3 linked regions of the Macaca mulatta genome follow. Each later gene encodes a partner of the first gene's protein in a complex. Links are inferred from orthologs where the notes say so. Each region holds a gene or a part of one and is shown on either strand. Other genes may lie near its edges.

The links.
Region 2: SNRNP40 (region 1) and CWC27 share a complex: the UniProt entries of both Homo sapiens proteins name them as parts of the minor spliceosome. The link is inferred for Macaca mulatta from reciprocal best matches to the Homo sapiens genes SNRNP40 and CWC27.
Region 3: SNRNP40 (region 1) and TXNL4A share a complex: the UniProt entries of both Homo sapiens proteins name them as parts of the U4/U6-U5 tri-snRNP complex. The link is inferred for Macaca mulatta from reciprocal best matches to the Homo sapiens genes SNRNP40 and TXNL4A.

Annotation. Positions count from the first base shown.
Region 1 is NC_133406.1:209,599,850-209,606,242, reverse strand, and holds the end of SNRNP40 (U5 small nuclear ribonucleoprotein 40 kDa protein), read right to left. Parts: intron 4,749-6,393; exon of another isoform or gene 4,399-4,748; intron 4,247-4,398; exon of another isoform or gene 3,971-4,246; intron 2,528-3,970; coding exon 2,424-2,527; intron 397-2,423; coding exon 347-396; downstream 1-346. UniProt on the Homo sapiens protein: Required for pre-mRNA splicing as component of the activated spliceosome. Component of the U5 small nuclear ribonucleoprotein (snRNP) complex and the U4/U6-U5 tri-snRNP complex, building blocks of the spliceosome.
Region 2 is NC_133411.1:72,854,427-72,860,819, forward strand, and holds part of CWC27 (spliceosome-associated protein CWC27 homolog), read left to right. Parts: intron 1-2,493; coding exon 2,494-2,651; intron 2,652-6,393. UniProt on the Homo sapiens protein: As part of the spliceosome, plays a role in pre-mRNA splicing. Probable inactive PPIase with no peptidyl-prolyl cis-trans isomerase activity. As a component of the minor spliceosome, involved in the splicing of U12-type introns in pre-mRNAs.
Region 3 is NC_133423.1:1,033,620-1,039,566, reverse strand, and holds part of TXNL4A (thioredoxin-like protein 4A), read right to left. Parts: intron 3,278-5,947; coding exon 3,174-3,277; intron 1-3,173. UniProt on the Homo sapiens protein: Plays a role in pre-mRNA splicing as component of the U5 snRNP and U4/U6-U5 tri-snRNP complexes that are involved in spliceosome assembly, and as component of the precatalytic spliceosome (spliceosome B complex).

The DNA.
Region 1 (6,393 bases):
TATCATACAAGCCAGTCTCACAAAAAAAAAAAAAATCCCAACCAACAAATTTGTCACATTGGGCCTGCATTAGAAAACAGGAAAAAAGAAAAAGAAAAAAAATAAAACAGTCCCTGAAATCTGGCAGGTGGTTTTTAGAGGCCACGGGGAGCTTGGGGAGCTTGCCTTAGTCATCCTGGTGAAATCGGACAGAAGTGGTTTTTGGAATATGGCCACCGCCTCCTGTTTCTTGCTAGCAATGGTCATCTGAAGGGAGGGTGCTAGCCTGGGCATCCAACATTTGATGTCAGTTATGCAGTCTGAGGTCTCAAAGACAAGCGGTCTTGGAGTCTTCCATTCCGTATCTTCACTGAATCTCTCCCATATACAGTCTCTTGTCACTCGATGCTGAGATAACTGAGGTAAAAAGAACAGAGAAGATACCTAGAAATAATGAAGGCTCAAGGAGACTTGGTGCCCAATTTTGGTATAAAAGAGCAGTTGGACTTAGCTTAAATTCCCCTCCTAAACACCATTCACAGGAAATTGTAGCCTGGCTTTTCAATCCAAATCCTCTAATATCATGAGGATGACTGTACTATGGGAAATACATTATCAGACACTAAATACTGATGTCTTTTGTCAGTCAAACCCCAAGAAAAAGACTTTCCCAATCATTGTAGAAAAGAGGAATCTATGGCTGTGCCAGTCATTTTGTAAATGTGCTTCTGCTTGTTATACTTAGTCCTGGAGAAAGTTACAGTTTCTCCTTTAATTCAAGGCTTAAATTATTTGGTTTAGCCAGCCACAAAATTTTAAGCTGAAATGTATATCCAAATTTTTTTTTTTTTTTTTTTTGAGACGGAGTCTCGCTCTGTCACCCAGGCTGGAGTGCAGTGGCACGATCTTGGCTCACTGCAAGCGCCGCCTCCCGGCTTCATGCCATTCTCCTGCCTCAGCCTCCCAAGTAGCTGGGACTACAGGCGCCCGCCACCTCGCCCGGCTAGTTTTTTGTATTTTTTAGTAGAGACGGGGTTTCACCGTGTTAACCAGGATGGTCTCGATCTCCTGACCTCGTGATCCACCCGTCTCGGCCTCCCAAAGTGCTGGGATTACAGGCTTGAGCCACCGCGCCCGGCCTATATCCAAATATTAAGAAGAATCATTCTTGGTTGGGCATGGTGGCTCACACCTGTAATCCCAGCACTTTGGGAGGCCAGACCAGGCCTGGCCAACATGGTGAAACCTCGTCTCTACTAAAAATACAAAAATTAGGCAGGTGTGATGGTGGGTGCCTGTAGTCCCAGCTACTTGGGAGGCTAAGGCAGGAGAATCGCTTGAACCTGGGAAGGCAGAGGTTGCAGTGAGCCGAGATCTTGCCACTGCATCCTAGCCTGGGCAACAAGAGTGAGACTCCGTCTTAAAAAAAAAGAAAAAAAAAAGTATCGTTCTTTTATCCAAATACATCATTGAAACAGACTTGATGGAAGTAAATTTAAAAAAAAAAAATTAGACTTACCAACTTCCTTTTGAAATCAAGAAGAAAATAGAGCATTGCTCTTACCCTTACCACTTATGAGGTGGTGAGAGTGTCATTGATACCCACATAAAGACTGTTTGCAGGCCGGGCGCGGTGGCTCAAGCCTGTAATCCCAGCACTCTGGGAGGCCGAGGCAGGCGGATCACGAGGTCAGGAGATCGAGACCATCCTGGCTAACACGGTGAAACCCCGTCTCTACTAAAAAAAATACAAAAAACTAGCCGGGCGAGGTGGCGGGCGCCTGTAGTCCCAGCTATTCGGGAGGCTGAGGCAGGAGAATGGCGTAAACCCGGGAGGCGGAGCTTGCAGTGAGCTGAGATCCGGCCACTGCACTCCAGCCCGGGCGACAGAGCGAGACTCCGTCTCAAAAAAAAAAAAAAAAAAAAAAAAAAAAAAAAAAAAAAAAAAAAAAAAAAAAAAAAAGACTGTTTGCAGCTGGGCACAGTGACTCACGCCTGTAATCCCAGCACTTTGGGAGGCTGAGGTGGGTGGATTACTTGAGGTCAGGAGTTCGTGACCAGCCTGACCAATATGGTGAAACCCTGTCTCTACTAAAAATACCAAAAAAAAAAAAAAGACAAAAAAAACAAATTAGCTGGGCATGGTGGTGTGCCTGTAATGCCAGCTACTTGGGAGGCTGAGGCAGGAGAACTGCTTGAACCCAGGAGGCAGAGGTTGCGGTGAGCTGAGATTGCACCATTGCTCCAACCTGGGCGAAACAGCGAGACTCTGTCTCAAAAAAAAAAAAAAACCATACAAAAAAACAAAAAAAACCACACAAAACACCAAAGGCTGTTTGCATGGAAATTCGCATAAAACAGATACCCACTTTTGCCTCTGTATTCCCAGGATCCCTACGGGGAGATTTCCAGTTTCCCTTTCCCCCTTGTTGGGAAAGACTTACTGATGGGCTCGTCAGGGTGGAAAGCAACTTCATTGATGGAGCCAGCATGGCCGGGCAGCTTATATAATATTCTCCTGCTTGTGGTATCCCACACATACACAAACCTGTAAGGTATCATGAAAAGCAAGGGTAAGGCCTCCTAGAGCTGGGGGTAAGGCAGAGGCATGGCTTTTTAAAGGAAATGGAAGCAACAATTATTTACTTACCTTACATTTACTGAACCGTGTTCTGGCTTTTAGAAACTAGGAATACAGAGTTTGAATAAGACATGAACTCAGCTCTTGAGCAATGGGGTGGAGAAATAAGAATAACTAAAAATATAAGCATTACTGGCATGTTTGAATACAAGCTTCTGAAATGGGAAACACCACAGGGAAGAAGAGAAAGGTTTTCCTGCAGACATCACACAAAAACCTTTTTCAGAGTGTCTAGTATAATTAGGCTACAGTTAACTTCATACTCATCCAGGAAGTCTAAAAGGTAACACAACTCATGGCAGGGTGGGAGCCTAGGCTGCAGATCCGGGTGAACTTTTTCGTACTGTATTCAAACAAAGCCCCGAGAAAGGACAGGAAGTGTCTGGTATATAAAATATTTATACTATTTGCTAACCTAATACTCACTTGAGTCAAATTTTCCATTGAATTATCAGGCAGAAGGAATACTGAATTATAGAATGGGAAGGGGCCAATAGAAATCAGCTTGTCTAGGTTGGGTATGGTGGCTCATGCCTATAATCCCAGCACTTTGGGAGGCTGAGGTGGGTGGATCGTCTGAGGTCAGGAGTTTGAGACCAGCCTGGCCAACAAGGTGAAACCCAGTCTCTACTAAAAATACAAAAAATTAGCCAGGTGTGGTAGCGTGTGCCTGTAATCCCAACTACTTGGGAGGCTGAAGTAGGAGAATTGCTTGAACCTGGGAGGCAGAGGTTGTAGTGAGCCAAGACCGTGGCACTGTCCTCTAGCCTGGGTGACGGAGTAAGACTCCGTCTCCAAAAAAAAAAAGGAGAAAAAAGATATCAGCTTTTCTAAACTCCCTATTTTAGAGATAAGAAAACTGGGGCACAGTGACGTTTCCAAGGCAATACAGTTCATCAATGGCAAAACTAAAATTAGAACTCTTAAAAAAAAAAAAAAGCTTATTAGAGAATGTTCTTAGGAAGACAAAATTTTTATTTGTCATTAAAAAAAATTATGAGGCTGGGCATGGTGGCTCACGTCTGTAATCCTAGCACTTTGGGGCGCCAAGGCTGATGGACTGCTTGAGCTCAGGCGCTTGAGACCAGCTTAGACAACATGGTAAAACCCCGTCTCTACAAAAAAAATTAGCCAGGTGTGGTGGTGCATGCCTGTGGTCCCAGCTACTCGGGAGGCCAAGGTGGGAGGACTGACTGAGTCCAGCAGGTAGAGGCTGCAGTGAGCTGAGATGGCACTACTGCACTCCAGCCTGGGTGACAGAGTGAGATCCTGTCTCATGTTTTTTTCATGCTGTATAATAAAGGTAATATAAGAGGCTATAGAGTTTTAAATTTCTTTCTACTGAAATACTCTGAATACTACTGAAAACTACCGAAATACCAAAATAACACAATGTAATTTCTGCAATGCTAGAATAAAAAAATTTTTACATTTCTCTTCAAAAGTGATGAATAGTAACAGAAGATGTCATAAAAACGTGATTTTTTTCCTATTCATTCGGTAGTATTACAGCCAGTATTTTTATCATCACAGGCCATAATTTTCACTTTATCCACTTTAATAAGTTCTATCACCTTTTGTAATTCAATATCATTGAATATAAAAGTCTACATATTATCACAGAATCTTTTTGTTTTTCTAAATTAATTTTTTTTTTTTTGTAGAGACAGTGTCTTCCTATGTTGTCGAGGCTGGTCTTGAACTCCTCGCCTCAAGCGATCCTCCCGCCTTCACCTCCCAAAGTGCTGGGATGACAGGCATGAGCCACCATGCATGGCATATGGCAGAATCTGTATGTATTTAGAGAGCCACTGAAATCAACTCTGTTCCTAACCCTCTGAGCCAAAATGATGCGTTTATAGCCTTATCAAACTGAAGTAAAACTTGAAGGGCAAGTTGAGTGAACTGCTGAGATTGTATGAGCTCATCTAGGCTCTCCTGAAGACTGTTTCCCAAAGTAGTACTTCTGTATAACTGATATGACATGGCTTAGGAAGAAGAAATTGTTTTTCTTATTCAAGCTTGCCTTGATGTCTTGTGCTGAAGGCTTCCTGCCATGGAGCAGACAGAAGTGACCAGGAGCCCAGCAGGGGGTTCCTATATTCCTGACCACCTCTTCAGCAGCCACAGAAACTACAGAGCTGAACCCAAGACTCTGGAGCTCTTAATATACTCCCGTATTTTACTTTCACTTAACCATCCATAAATATACTGGCTAAAAATAAAGGGTCTATTATCTTAATCTGATGAAGTAAAATTTATCTGTTGGTAAATATAAAGGGCTGGTGGTTTTGAAGCAGGTATTTAAAATTATTTACATATTTTGTTTTGTGCAATCAACAACTCACCAGTACTTGATCATAAAAATGGTACATTCACCAGTACTGGATTATAAAATGCCTAGTTCTAATCCAACATTACACTTTTGGTCTAAAATGCAAATAAACAAGAGCTTCTTAATTATACTATTTAGCTGTCATCAGCTAGGCTCCATAGAAACTAAGCTCTGAGCAAGATGGAGGAGAAGCAGGAACTCCATCAGTCTAGACTCCTTGGCTCTGATACTCATACCCTTCCTACTGTCTTCTTTCCTGTCACGCACAAAAAGGTGGTCCTCATTAATTCAATTATTGGCAGTGTGGCACAGTAAAAGAGTATGAGCTCTGGAGTCAGAAAGACTGGGGTTCAAGTCTCAGTGCAGCTATTTACTAGCTAAGTAAGCTTAGCTCAGAGAAGTTAAATAATTGCAGATCATTTAACTTCTCTAAGCTTCTTAGTTACAATGATGGAGAAAATATTGATCTCATAATTTTGTTGAGAAAAATAATGAGGTAATATACGCAAAGTGCCTGGCACACAGAATTAATTATAGCTATTGTTATTACAAGTATACTCATCATCAAAACAGAATCTCATGAAGTCAATGGGCTGAATAAATCACTCTTGGCCAAGAGACTGGCCAGCCTTCCTGTAGTCTACAGGACTATATATAGTTTCAAGTTTGAATAAGAGGAGGTGATCTGTAAGTTATTAGTTAGTAGAAAGGAGAGATTTGCCAAATTCAGGCCAAGCTGAAAAGCAGTTTTCTGAGGATACATTTCCCAGGCACATAAAAGACAGAATCTCAGATCTCCAAGGGTTTACACTTCAAGGCCTCACTCTTGATGGCTGCCAATTAGATGCTAAATTTGGAGGAGTTCCTTGCCCTCTCCTTACTCTGGCATGGCAACATTTGGCAGGAACTAGGAGCCTTATGTAACAGAGCTGCTTGTTGACTTGGGGCTAATTGGCGAGGTGGCCTGTCAAATCTGGCCAACCCCCAGCAGGTAGAAAGGGTAGGCTTTCCTCAGACCACGCTTCCACATGTGAAGTTTTTTTTTTTTTTTTTTTTTTTAAAGAGATGGTGTCTTGCTCTGTTGCCCAGGCTGGAGAGCAGTGGTATGATTGCAGCTCACTATATCCTCAAACTACTGGGCTCAAGGGATCCTTCTGCCTCAGCCTACTAAGTAGCTGGGACTACAGGTGCACACTACTATGCCTGGCTAATTTTTAAGATTTTTTTTTTATAGAGACAGGATCCTGCCATCTTGCCCAGGCTCGTCTTGAACTCTTGGGTTCAAGCCATCCTTCCACCTTGGCCTCTCAGAGTGTTGGGATTAAAGGTGTGCATCATCGACCACATGTAAAGTTTAAAAGTACAGTGGAGAGGGAAAGAGGAAAAAGAGGATACTACAATTCAGAAAGGGCCAATGCCAGAAATAAACTGCTCATCA
Region 2 (6,393 bases), on another chromosome or scaffold:
ATACACATTTCAAAAGATTCTCATTCAAGACTGTAGTGATCTTTGTTAGTTGTGTTGGGTAATAAAGCTAACAAAACAGAAGGAAGATTTTCCTTTAATACATAAGAGTCAAGTTTTGCAAATTATACATATGCCACTTTGTATATAAAAATCCATTAATCTGTGCATTATATAATTTACTAGGAAGTACATAACTTTCCATGCATGAACACAGATTTATCTATTATCACAGTCAAAAGAGAAGGCTCTCTCTGGCTATCAGTAGGAGATAGAGAGAGGATGAATATCTGACCTTGTCAAGAAAACCTTCCTGGAAGAGATGATGGTGTTTATGTCTTACATGAGAGTTAGGAGTTAGATAAGTCAGAAAAGAAAGTGGTGAAGGGTAGGGTCCCTCTAGCTCAGAGAACAGCATATACTAAAGCATGGAAATAAGGAGAGATTATACCTTATTTAGGAAATACAAACAGAGATTTAAAGTTTCAAGGAGTCTGTCTTGTGAAGAGCAAGGAAGAAGATTATTGAAGGTAAGGGGAACTGCATATACAAAATAGTCCGAAGCAGGAGAGTTTGGTGTGTTCTAAGAGCTGCAAGCAGGCCAACGTGAACAGGATGTGGTGACAGGCCAGAGCTTCATTACAGAGCTTCATAGGCCGTGGTGAGGAGTTTGAATTTTTTCTCAAAAGGAAGTGAGGAACAGTTGAAGGGTGTTTGTTAAAAAGAAGGATGCTGTGATCAATTTTGCATTTCAGGAAGATCACCGTTGGTGATATTATAGAGGACAAATTAGAGGAAACAGACTGATGTCAAGGACAGCCACTGGGAAGCTATTGCAGGAGGAGAGCTTGATATAAGACCACAGCTGTGAGATGGGAAAGAGGTAGATTTGAAAGAGGTCTAGGAGGTGACTGATTCCATACTATGAGGTGAGGGAGGAGTAGTCCAAGACAACCACAAGGTCTCTGGTTTGGGCAACTTGTTAGATGGGTACAAAAGAAAGCATAGGGTTGAGATGGAGAGAAGGATGAAAAGTAATGAGCTTAATTTTATACATTTCAAGATTGAAGTAATTTGGAGACATCTGTGTAACATAATATGGGTCTAGAAGATAGGATCAATGTATAGGATAGAATGTAAAAGTATAAATTTGCTCTTAATATCATGGGTGGGTGACTAAAACTGTAGATCCTTTCCCAGGAAAATATCCTACATTCACAACCAAAATTATATGAATTTGCCGGGAATTTTTTTCAGATCTCCTGAGGCCTGAGCATGGAAGGCCTAGGTTGGTGGTTGTCAACTTTTAGTGCTTAAACATCTTGTTGAAAACATTCATAATTTCTGCCCCCAGAGATTTTGGTTCAATAAGTCTGCAATGAGGACTAGAATTTCAGGTGTTAATAAACAACTATGTAATACCATCTAAAGACCAGACTTTGAGGACCACTGCTTTAGGGGTCCACAAGTCTCAAATTAAGAATCCTGCTTTCACTACGACTCACCAGATCAAAGAAAGAATCACGAAATAAAAATGATCTACTTGGGGTTATTTCTTCCTTCTTCTCTCCCCTCTTTCTTCCCTTCATTCCTCCCTCTGTTAATGCTGGGTACCATTCTAGGAGTTGAAGATACAACAGTAAGCAAAACAGGCCAGAATTTTAGCCCTCATGGAGTGTATGCTATAGTTGGATGAGAGACAATACACATACAAATAATTAAAATGTATGGTGTATCAGATAGGTGATAAGTACTTTGGAAAATAAGCCAGGGAAGGGGAAAGAGTACTGGAGGTAAGTGTGTGGTTCTGCCATTTTAATAGGGTAATCTCATCACCAAGACGGTAATATTTGAGCAAAGATCCGAAGGAGATGAAAGAGCAAGCAATGAAGAGATATCTGGAATAGAGTGTTTGTTTCAGGCTAGAGAGAACAGCAACTCCAAAGCTGGCTAGTGTTGCTGGGGTGGAGTTGTAGGAGATTATGTCAGGGAGGTTTAGACTGCATAGGACCTTGAGTGAGTTGGGGACCCACTAGAGGGTTTTCAGAAGAGAAGTGATGCTATGACTTGGATTATAGAAATCTCAGCTTCTGCACTACACCTCTTCTACCTGAGTTGATCCGTGTTGAGGTCAGTATGCTGCCCAACTGCCTTCAGAAGCCACATTTCCCACTGAGATAAGAATAGGAATATAGACAGATACAATAGCCCGGGTGATATGGGGGTGAAGTCTGCTGCACAAAGGAGCTGGGCATGAATTGAGCAAACAACCTTTCCTGGGGTATCCCATAATTACATAGTTGGCTTAGAGCAGAACCCAGGGCTATTCCCACCTGTAGCAGATTCTTCAAAGGCTTGTAATTCAACACAAAAGAAAACAAAATAAAGAAAAACCTAGTTTAGAATGCAATAAGGAGATTCAGTGGATGCAGTAGATCTCTAGAAATGAAAGGGGAAATTGAGTGCCTGGCAAATACTCATTTTCCATTTCTACAGGATGGAGAAGATGAAAGTGCAGAGTATGATGAATATGTTGATGGTGATGAAAAGAACCTGATGAGAGAAAGAATTGCCAAAAAGTTAAAAAAGGACACAAGCGCGAATGTTAAATCAGCTGGAGAAGGAGAAGTGGAGAAGAAATCAGTCAGCCGCAGGTGAGTCAGTTACTGTGCTAGGTATCAGACTTTTTGTCTTTTTATATTTCACTTTAATTCAGATTGAATCCTCTCTTCAGCTAATTTTTAAAATACTATTTTCATATTGTTTGATAAACATAACAGTTGTACAAATTGGCCCAGTAGCGGGCCTAAAATAAAATACACCAAGCTTAAAGTAAACATAGTAATGATCCTGTGAGTTCAATTCCATTTTATTTCTCTCTGATCCTTTTTTAGAAAGGCTCTATAAGTTCATATATATAGGCTAATAATGTATTAGCTAGATGTGAAAGAATGCATTTGTTAAATACCAGTGAGAGCAGTAGAGTAATTGTATAGAAAGAAAAGAGACATCCTCAAATAATTTAGGTGAGCAAAATTTGTCAAAATTGATGAAGAAAATGTGTGGGCCTGAAAACGTTCTTAAATATCTTTTCAAGTCTGATTTACCAAATACCATATACCTATCCTAAGCTCAGTAGTATCATAAAATAAATTTCAGCAAATGATGAAAAGTTTACTGTCTGGTGATAAAAGTTTGTTGGATTTATAACTCAACATTTTATTCTCCTGAAATTCAACTTAATTGAAAAAATTATCTCCTTTGTGATTCTATTTCAACTTCATAGTATACATTTTAAATAACATTGCTTTAATTATTTAAAGCAATATTTAAAATAATTATTGTTTTCTTCAAATACTATTTAGGGATAAGATGAATGTAACTACATTTAAATAACATTCTTTTTCTCAATCATGTTTCTCAACCACATGTAGAAAAACTGAAAAAGGATTTCCATGCTATCATTGCATAGCTCCCTCAATTTTTTTCTTTATGTAATCAAATAAAAATTATTCCCAGAAATTTCCACTAAAAGCGTAGCTTTGAACATTTAGAAATGGCACTTAGGAGTCATCTTAAGTGTCTTTTTTCCAGCAATATTCACCCGACACTCAAGTAATCACTGTTGAATAATTTTATATACTAAATTATATTATATATACTATATATAGTAGCTAATATAGACTAAAGATTTTAGTGATCATATGCATGCTTCTAGATTCATAGAGTTGAAAAACCTCTCATTAGCACTGTGACTTTTAGTTAAATCATGAATATAATTATGGATACATAATGTTTTATTCCACTCATTCAAGGCATGTGTTTTCTTATTTTAAAAAATTATGAATTTTTTAAAGGTTAGGTTTATAATGTAACAAAAATATATTTAAAAATTTTAATAGATGAACCAACCAAATATTTATGTTATATATGAGTGTTCCTTAAACTCCCAACTCTGTCTTATAGGCTTTAATAAATTTCAAGTATTTATATACCCTATAATATAAATTATAATTTAGCAATGCTAAATTTTGTATAAGAACTGAAGTTTATTTTTAATGCACCTTTCATAAGTGTCTTTAAAAAATTGTTTAACTAATGTTAAGAAAAGTCAAAGTTCGCATTTTCCAAAATTATGTTCACTCTTACAATTAAGGGTTATTCTTAAAAGATTTCCTTGGCTGTAGTTTGGGCCTGATGACCAAACATGGCATTGATAGCTAGATTTAGGAATCTGATCTATCATGAGAATACTGGAGAGCCATTGAAGTTTTTACAGGCAAATGATACACTGAGATTGTATTTAGTATGGAGAATGGATTGATAGAGGAGTGTTTTGGGCCATTATACAAAATACCATAGACTGGATGACTTAAACAACAGACATTTAAAGCTTAGTTTTTATGCTGATTTCTTACATAGGAACGTATATATCCACTTACTCATGTAAGCAGTTTTTCTCTTTTTATAAATCAGTATAATTTGCAAAATTAAAATCGCATAATTTGTACTATTCACTGTAGAGGAAAAAGCTATATTCAAGCGCATTGCAAGTCTACTAAGAAAAGTAAATTAAATAAATTAAAAAAGTAAATTAAATACTTTTCTACTAAGAAAAGTAAATTAAATAAGAAATAAGTCTCCAAAGGTGGCTTGAATATTTTAGGTAAACATGAGTATTGTGGACATTATTGGATTCTTTTAGGTAAAATAATTGGCAAAGTGTGCCTTTGTAAATGGTGCAAACAGCACACATTTATTTATAACTGTTTTGTTCCCCCACATTTTCATTATTCACATTCTCTACTCTCCCTCCTTCATCCTATCTCTCCTACCTACAAAGAGAAACAAAAGAAAAATAAGGTCAGGATAGTAGAGAAAGTACAGAATTTCAAAGGGAAGAAACAGTTTTTTCCTCTAGTGTAGAAATTTCCAGGCCGGGCGCAGTGGCTCACGCCTGTAATCCCAGCACTTTGGGAGGCCGAGGCGGGTGGATCACCTGAGGTCAGGAGTTCGAGACCAGCCTGACCAACATGGAGAAACCTCGTCTCTACTAAAAATACAAAAAATTAGCTGGGCGTGGTGGCGCATGCCTATAATCCCAGCTACTGGGGAGGCTGAGGCAGGAGAATTGCTTGAGCCTGGGAGGCGGAGGTTGTGGTGAGCCGACATCGTGCCATTGCACTCCAGCCTGGGCAACAAGAGTGAAACTCCGCCTCAAAAAAAAAAAAAAAAAAGAAATTTCCATGATTGTGTCATGACCATGTATTTTTTCAGTTCGTGAAGTTGCCAAAATCAGACCCTGGCATGGTGGCTCATGCCTGTAATCCCAGCTGCTCAGCAGGCTGAGGTGGGAGAGTTGCTTGAGCCTAGGAGCTCTAGGCTGCAGTGAGCTATGATCGTGCATGGGTGACACAGCAAGACCCTGTCTCTAAAAAAATACAAATAAATTTTAAAAAATTTCCAGATCATTAGTACTTTTGGTTATTTATACCAGCAAGTCTCTGGAGTTAACTTTATGGTTAAAAAATAAAACAACAAAACATAGGAAAGCTCCAAATGTACTGAAAAATTACAATGTGGTAAAAAGGATAATTATATTTAAAGGAAAGTCACTGCTCAGTTTGGGTTGTAATGGGTATAGCTGCCAGCCAGATAGGATGTCAGTGTGAAATCATTATCTATTAAAAAATGAGTACTCTTGATACATAACTTCTTGTCTGGTTGTGCTTGAAGTACTCTATTATCCTTTGGTCATTTTTCCATTTAAGCAGTAGGATCAAAGACTAGACTAGCCTACCAGCCCTTTAAGCAAGGAGCCATTCAAAGTATAATTTTACTGAAAATGTATGGTATTGCTTCTTTTGGTAAGGAAACATCCGGAATCTGTTAAAACTGTTTATCACTTTGGATGTTAAACCTACACATGTATTTATTGAGTGCTTAATATTTAAACTAGAGAATGATATTTAACAGTATAGTTTTCAACAAGTTTACATACAGTAAGATCTTCTCCTAGTAATGTGTTCGCAACAGTGTCTCTAGTTGTTCATTTGAAAAAAGGGCTCAGGGGAAATACAAATCCAAAATGCTTCCTAGTTTCTCTCCTTAGAGAATAGGCACCCTTATATCTATTCTGACTTCCTGGGATTTCTAATCCCTTTCCTCTTCCCTTTTTAAAATGTACCAATCCCACTTTCTTTCCAGCCCACTTTCTCTATGCCTATATCTTGACTACTGGATACAGCTCAGCAGAATCACACAGCTATATACAAGCTGGTATTATTATGGATTTCTAGATTCCAGCCTCAGCTGTGTCTCCAGTGCTTCCTTTTTACTCACTCGCCACAATGTTTACTTCACACTTCAAACTCACTCACTCAGTCGATCACCTTG
Region 3 (5,947 bases), on another chromosome or scaffold:
TCACGGCCTCAAGTGATCCTCCCACCTTGGCCTCCCAAAGTGCTGGGATTACAGGTGTGAGCCACTGCGCCCGACCTGATTATTTTTCTTAGAGATGAGGTCTATGTTGCTAAGGCCGGACTTGAACCCCGGCCTGCAGAGTGGCTGGGCGGCAGGCATGCCCCACCTGAAGACTGTTTTTTAACGTTCACTTCCACAAGATCATGCATTTGGCTTCCACCTACTATTCCACAGAAAGCGTTCCCAGTGAAGTCTGTGGTTCAGGAAAGGCAAATCTGATCAGGGTCTGGAGCCCACCTCTGGCCGCCCTCTCATTCTCCATGCTGCAGGCCGGCGCTCCATGCAGCACGCACCAAGATCCTTCTACGCTGACTGGGGCTGCCCGTAGTACCCTCCCTGTAGCCCTATCTGACTTGGGGGTACTTCTTCAGTATTTACATCTCATAAACACCTGCCTCCTTTCACTTCTTCAGTATTCCCTGCTAATTTACTCAGCTGTTTCTTCTATCAGACAAAGTCCTGTGAGAGTGGGAATCCTGCCTTATCTGATATTAGGCCCCACCACTAGACCACAGACCTGGTGGGGGCTCAAGATACATGTTTAGTGCATAAGGTAACTAAAGTACCATTTGTCTTAATATTCTGAATCACAGAAACAACAGCAGAAGGAAGTTTCATCTTCTTTTCTGAGTATAGCATCAGTCCTAAGAATATCAAACTACACTAAGTAGGCTACAGCCTCCATCCAAGGCTGTTCCCTGCAGCCTCCTTGCCCCTCACAGCATCTCCAGCCCCAGGCTGGCCTCCACTGCACGCTGTGGGGGGCACAGACCTAAGACGGCCCTCCCTGTTCTCACCTGAAGAATTAGAAAAGGCCTCTATTGCCTCAAACAGGCTGTTAACAGGAATATGGACTTTAGGAATGCCTGGTGCGGGCTCGGAAGGAAGTGAGGAGTGCGTTACTGGGAAACGGAGCAAAGGGGACCCCGTTACAGAGTGGCCAAGGAACAGGGACACAGGGTCCGCAGTTATGGGAGATCAGAGCTCAAAAGCAACACACTTGGGATATTTAGCTGCGGAAACTTCCAAGCAAAGTCTCGGAAGTGCTGCCTTCAAGAGAGGAAACAGGCAAATTCGTGTAAGAACTGTTAACAAAAGGAATAAATTCTTGAGCCTCTCCGGATGGCCAAAGGTGCTGAAACTCAGAAATGGCTGCTGAACGCACAGCAGAGGAAAGGATGAGGGTCGGCCACGCAACCTTTGCTGAAACCTATGAAAGATCAAAAGTTCACAAGAAATGCAGGTGCACCTCACAGATCTTCTCACCAAACAGGAGGTGCCTAGGAAGCCTAAGGCATGTCCAGGGGAGCGTATCCCGATGCCCAGAACCGCGGCAGTGCCTCACACTTTGGCAGCCTGAGGCGAGAGGATGGCTTGAAGCCAGGAGTTCAAGGATGCTGTGATGGCACCGTTGCCCTCCACCCTGGGTGACAGAGTGAGACTCCATCTCAATAAATCAATAAAACAAGGTGATTATCCTGGATTATTTAGGCAAGTCTAATCTAATCACAGTCCTCTAAAACCAGAGCATTTTCTCAGGCAGAACTTTTCAGGAAGTCAGAGAACTTGTGTGAAAATACCTCAACATGGCCGGGTGCGGTGGCTCAAGCCTGTAATCCCAGCGCTTTGGGAGGCCGAGACGGGCGGATCACGAGGTCAGGAGATCGAGACTATCCTGGCTAACACGGTGAAACCCCGTCTCTACTAAAAAATACAAAAAACTAGCCGGGCGAGGTGGCGGGCGCCTGTAGTCCCAGCTACTCGGGAGGCTGAGGCAGGAGAATGGCGTAAACCCGGGAGGCAGAGCTTGCAGTGAGCTGAGATCCGGCCCCTGGGCGACAGAGCGAGACTCCGTCTCAAAAAACAAACAAACAAAAAAAAAGAAAATACCTCACCGTGCCGGCATGCCGGTGCTGGCTTTGAGGGTGATGAGGTCTCTAGCAGCAGCGTGGCCTCAGGTAACAGCAGCAAGGAAGCAGATCTCAGACTCTCCACCACGAAGAGCTGGATTCGGCCCACAACCCAAACAAGCCCCTCAGACGCTCCAGAGAAGCACCTGGCCCATGGTTCAGACCTTGGGAGACCCTGAGCAGGAATCCAGCGGGCCCTGCCTGGATGTCTGACTTACAGAGCTGTGAGCTCTGAAAAGGGGGGTGATTTAAGCTGCTCAATGTGTGCTAATTTGTTACAAAGACTATGAAACTAATACACACCCTGTACAACCCACCTGACCTTCCTGACCAAGCAGGAGGCTCCACTTTTGGAGAACGGTTAATGCTCATGCAGCTAATTCACCAACCTCTATGGTAACTAAACAAGCAAAAACAGCATCAGATGGTGATTTCCTTCCCCATTAAATTTCCAAAATGAAATTTCTGGGCTGATAAAATAATCTTGTATTTATAAGCAAAGTAATTCAGTTCAGGTGTTCCTCTTAGATATAAAAAAGGACACTAAAGTCGATATCGTATTTAATAAATTAGGTTTTTTTTTTTTTTTTTTTGAGACGGAGTTTTGCTCTTGTTGCCTAGGCAGAGTGCAATGGCGCAATCTCGGCTCACTGCAACCTCCACCTCCCAGGTTCAAGTGATTCTCCTGCCTCAGCCTCCCAGTAGCTGAAATTACAGGCATGCACCACCACGCCTGGCTAATTTTGTATTTTTAGTAGAGACGAGGTTTCACCATCTTAGCCTGGTTGGTCTCGAACTCCTAACCTTGTGATCCACCCACCTCAGCCTCCCAAAGTGCTGGGATTGTAGGCGTGAGCCACCGCACCCGGCCTAAATTCGTGATTTTACAACACATTTTTGATGAACAGATTAGTTCAAGGTATCTAAAATGTCAGTAAGAATGTCTTTCATTGAATTACACTTTACCTAGTTTCCCAGCAAAGTTATTTCAAAAGGATAATTTGTTATTAAATAAATGCTAAAACTAGAATTGTTACTTTGAAAATTATTTAAAAGATTCACACTGATTGCCTGGTGATACAAATGCTATTGGGATATGACTGTAGAACCAACTTCCTTCAAAATAAAATAAAGAGATCTTGGTTACATTAAACTTCCAAACTGACAATATTCAGTTTCAATAACGACTTTAAAATAACATACCTGAAGAAAAACATGACAGTACAAGGATCGTATAACTCATACATTTTGTTGAAGTCAGGTACTTCTGTAATATCCACAAGATAAATAACTGCAAAATTTTTAACCTAAAAGGAGATTAAAAAAAAAAAAAAACTGAAATAACAGAACACTTTGGCTTTCACTTTATAAAAGCACATTTATAAAAACAAAACCAAGAATTTGTGTGGATCAGGGCAACTTTTGTTTTGTTTTTTTTTGAGACAGGGTCTCACTCTGTCGTCCACAGAGCACAGTGGTGCAATCATAGCCGGGACCCTGGCCACCGGCTCCTTCCACCTCACGCCACCGTTTCCCAGAACACTTCAGGACTGGCCACTGGCTCCTTCTGCCTCATGCCACCATTTCCCAGAATTGCCTAGGAATTAAATTTCACTCAGGTGACAAGTTATGAAAGTCCTGCAGAAAACGTCCACAGATATAGCATTTATGCTGATCTAGTAATCATCTATACGAACCTTTACATAGTTACATGCATCTCACAGCTGCTCTAAAATATGCCTGTAGAATCCTGCCATCATTTTCCTGCAGTTAGGTTTGAACACTTGCAAATACTAATAATACCCCAATAAAACACATTTCCTGTTATTTCTTCTTTAACTGCAAGTTTATCAGAGATTTAGAAAAGCCAGAAAAGGCCGGGCGCGGTGGCTCAAGCCTGTAATCCCAGCACTTTGGGAGGCCGAGACGGGCGGATCACGAGGTCAGGAGATCGAGACCATCCTGGCTAACACAGTGAAACCCCGTCTCTACTAAAAAATACAAAAAACTAGCCGGGCGAGGTGGCGGGCGCCTGTAGTCCCAGCTACTCCGGAGGCTGAGGCAGGAGAATGGCGTAAACCCGGGAGGCGGAGCTTGCAGTGAGCTGAGATTCGGCCACTGCACTCCAGCCCGGGCTACAGAGCAAGACTCCGTCTCAAAAAAAAAAAAAAAAAAAAAAAAAAAAGAAAAGCCAGAAAAATAAAAAGAAAATAAAATCACCTCCAATCCCAACACCCAGGGGTGATTGCTGTTATCTTTTTTTCGGAGACAGGGTCTGGCTCTGCTGCCCAGGCTGGAGTGCAGTGGCAAGATCTTGGCTCACTGCAACCTCTGCCTCCTGGGCTCAAGCGATCCACCCATCTCAGCCTCCCAAGTAGCTGGGACTACAGGCACGTACCACCACACCTGGCTAATTTTTGTATTTTTTGTAGAGACAGGGTTTTGCCATGTTGCCCAGACTAGTCTTGAACTCCTGGACTCAAGTGATACGCCTGCCTTGGCTTCCCAAAGTGCTGCAATTACAGGCACGAGCCACCACGCCTTGCACTTTTTTTACTATATTCTTTCCCCCCTTTCTTATAGATATATTTTGCTTATACTATTTCTGTTCAGACATAGCAAACTGTGGTCATATTGTGATCGTACAATATTTTGTATCCTGCTTTAATTATGAGCTTTCTTTTCTTTTTTTTTTGAGACAGAGTCTCGCTCTGTGGCCCAGGCTGGAGTGCTGTGGCTGGATCTCAGCTCACTGCAAGCTCCGCCTCCCGGGTTCACGCCATTCTCCTGCCTCAGCCTCCCGAGTAGCTGGGACTACAGGCGCCCGTCACCTCGCCTGGCTAGTTTTTGTATTTTTTAGTAGAGAAGGGGTTTCACCGTGTTAGCCAGGATGGTCTCGATCTCCTGACCTCGTGATCCGCCCGTCTAGGCCTCCCAAAGTGCTGGGATTACAGGCTTGAGCCACCGCGCCCAGCCGAGCTTTCTTTTTTTTTGAGACAGAGTCTCGATCTGTCACCCAGTCTGGAGTGCAGTGGCACGATCTTGGCTCACTGCAACCTCCACCTCCTGGGTTCAAGCTATTCTCCAGCCTCAGCCTCCCATGTAGCTGGGATTACAGGTGCGTGCTAGTGCATCTGGCTAATTTTTGTATTTTTAGTAGAGATGAGGTTTCACCATATTGGCCAGGCTGATCTCAAACTCCTGACAGGTGATCCACCCACCTCAGCCTCTCAAAGTGCTGGAATTACAGGCGTGAGCCACCCTGCCGGCCAATTATGAGCATTCTTTTACATACATTACCTACTTTCCAAAAACGGAAAACTTTTGTGGCCGCATGATTCATCAAACGGCTATGCCATTACTTCACCATTTGATATAGCTTGGATATTTGTCCCTACCCAAATCTCAGGTTGAAACGTAACTCCCAGGGTTGCAGGTGGGGCCTGGTGGGAGGGGACTGGATCATGGGATGGATTTCTCATCAATGGTTGAGCGTCATCCTCTTGGTGATGTCCTGGGGTAGTGAGCTGAGGTTGTTTAAGTGTGTGACACTCCGCCCCAGCTTTCACCGTGCGACGTCCCTGTTCCCCTTTGCCTTCTGCCATGATTGGAAGGTCCTGAGGCCTCCCGAGAAGCAAATGCCGGTACCATACTTCCTGTACAGCCTGCAGAACTGTGAGCCAATTAAACCTCTTTTCTCATAAGTTACCCGGTCTCATGTATTTCTTTATAGCAATGCGAGAAGAGCCTCCTACACCATTCTTCTGTTACTCTCTGATTTTTCATTAATATCAATTATTCACCTGTGAATATTTTCCCCCTTAAATTTGTATACATACTTCATTATTTCCTAAGGACAAATTCCTAAAATTCTGGAACAAAGGATATGACATTTTAAAGGCTCTTTATAAATACTAATTCAATGCCCTTTAGAAGCTTGTAGTCACTTGTATGTGTTATGAGTTAAACTATGTCCC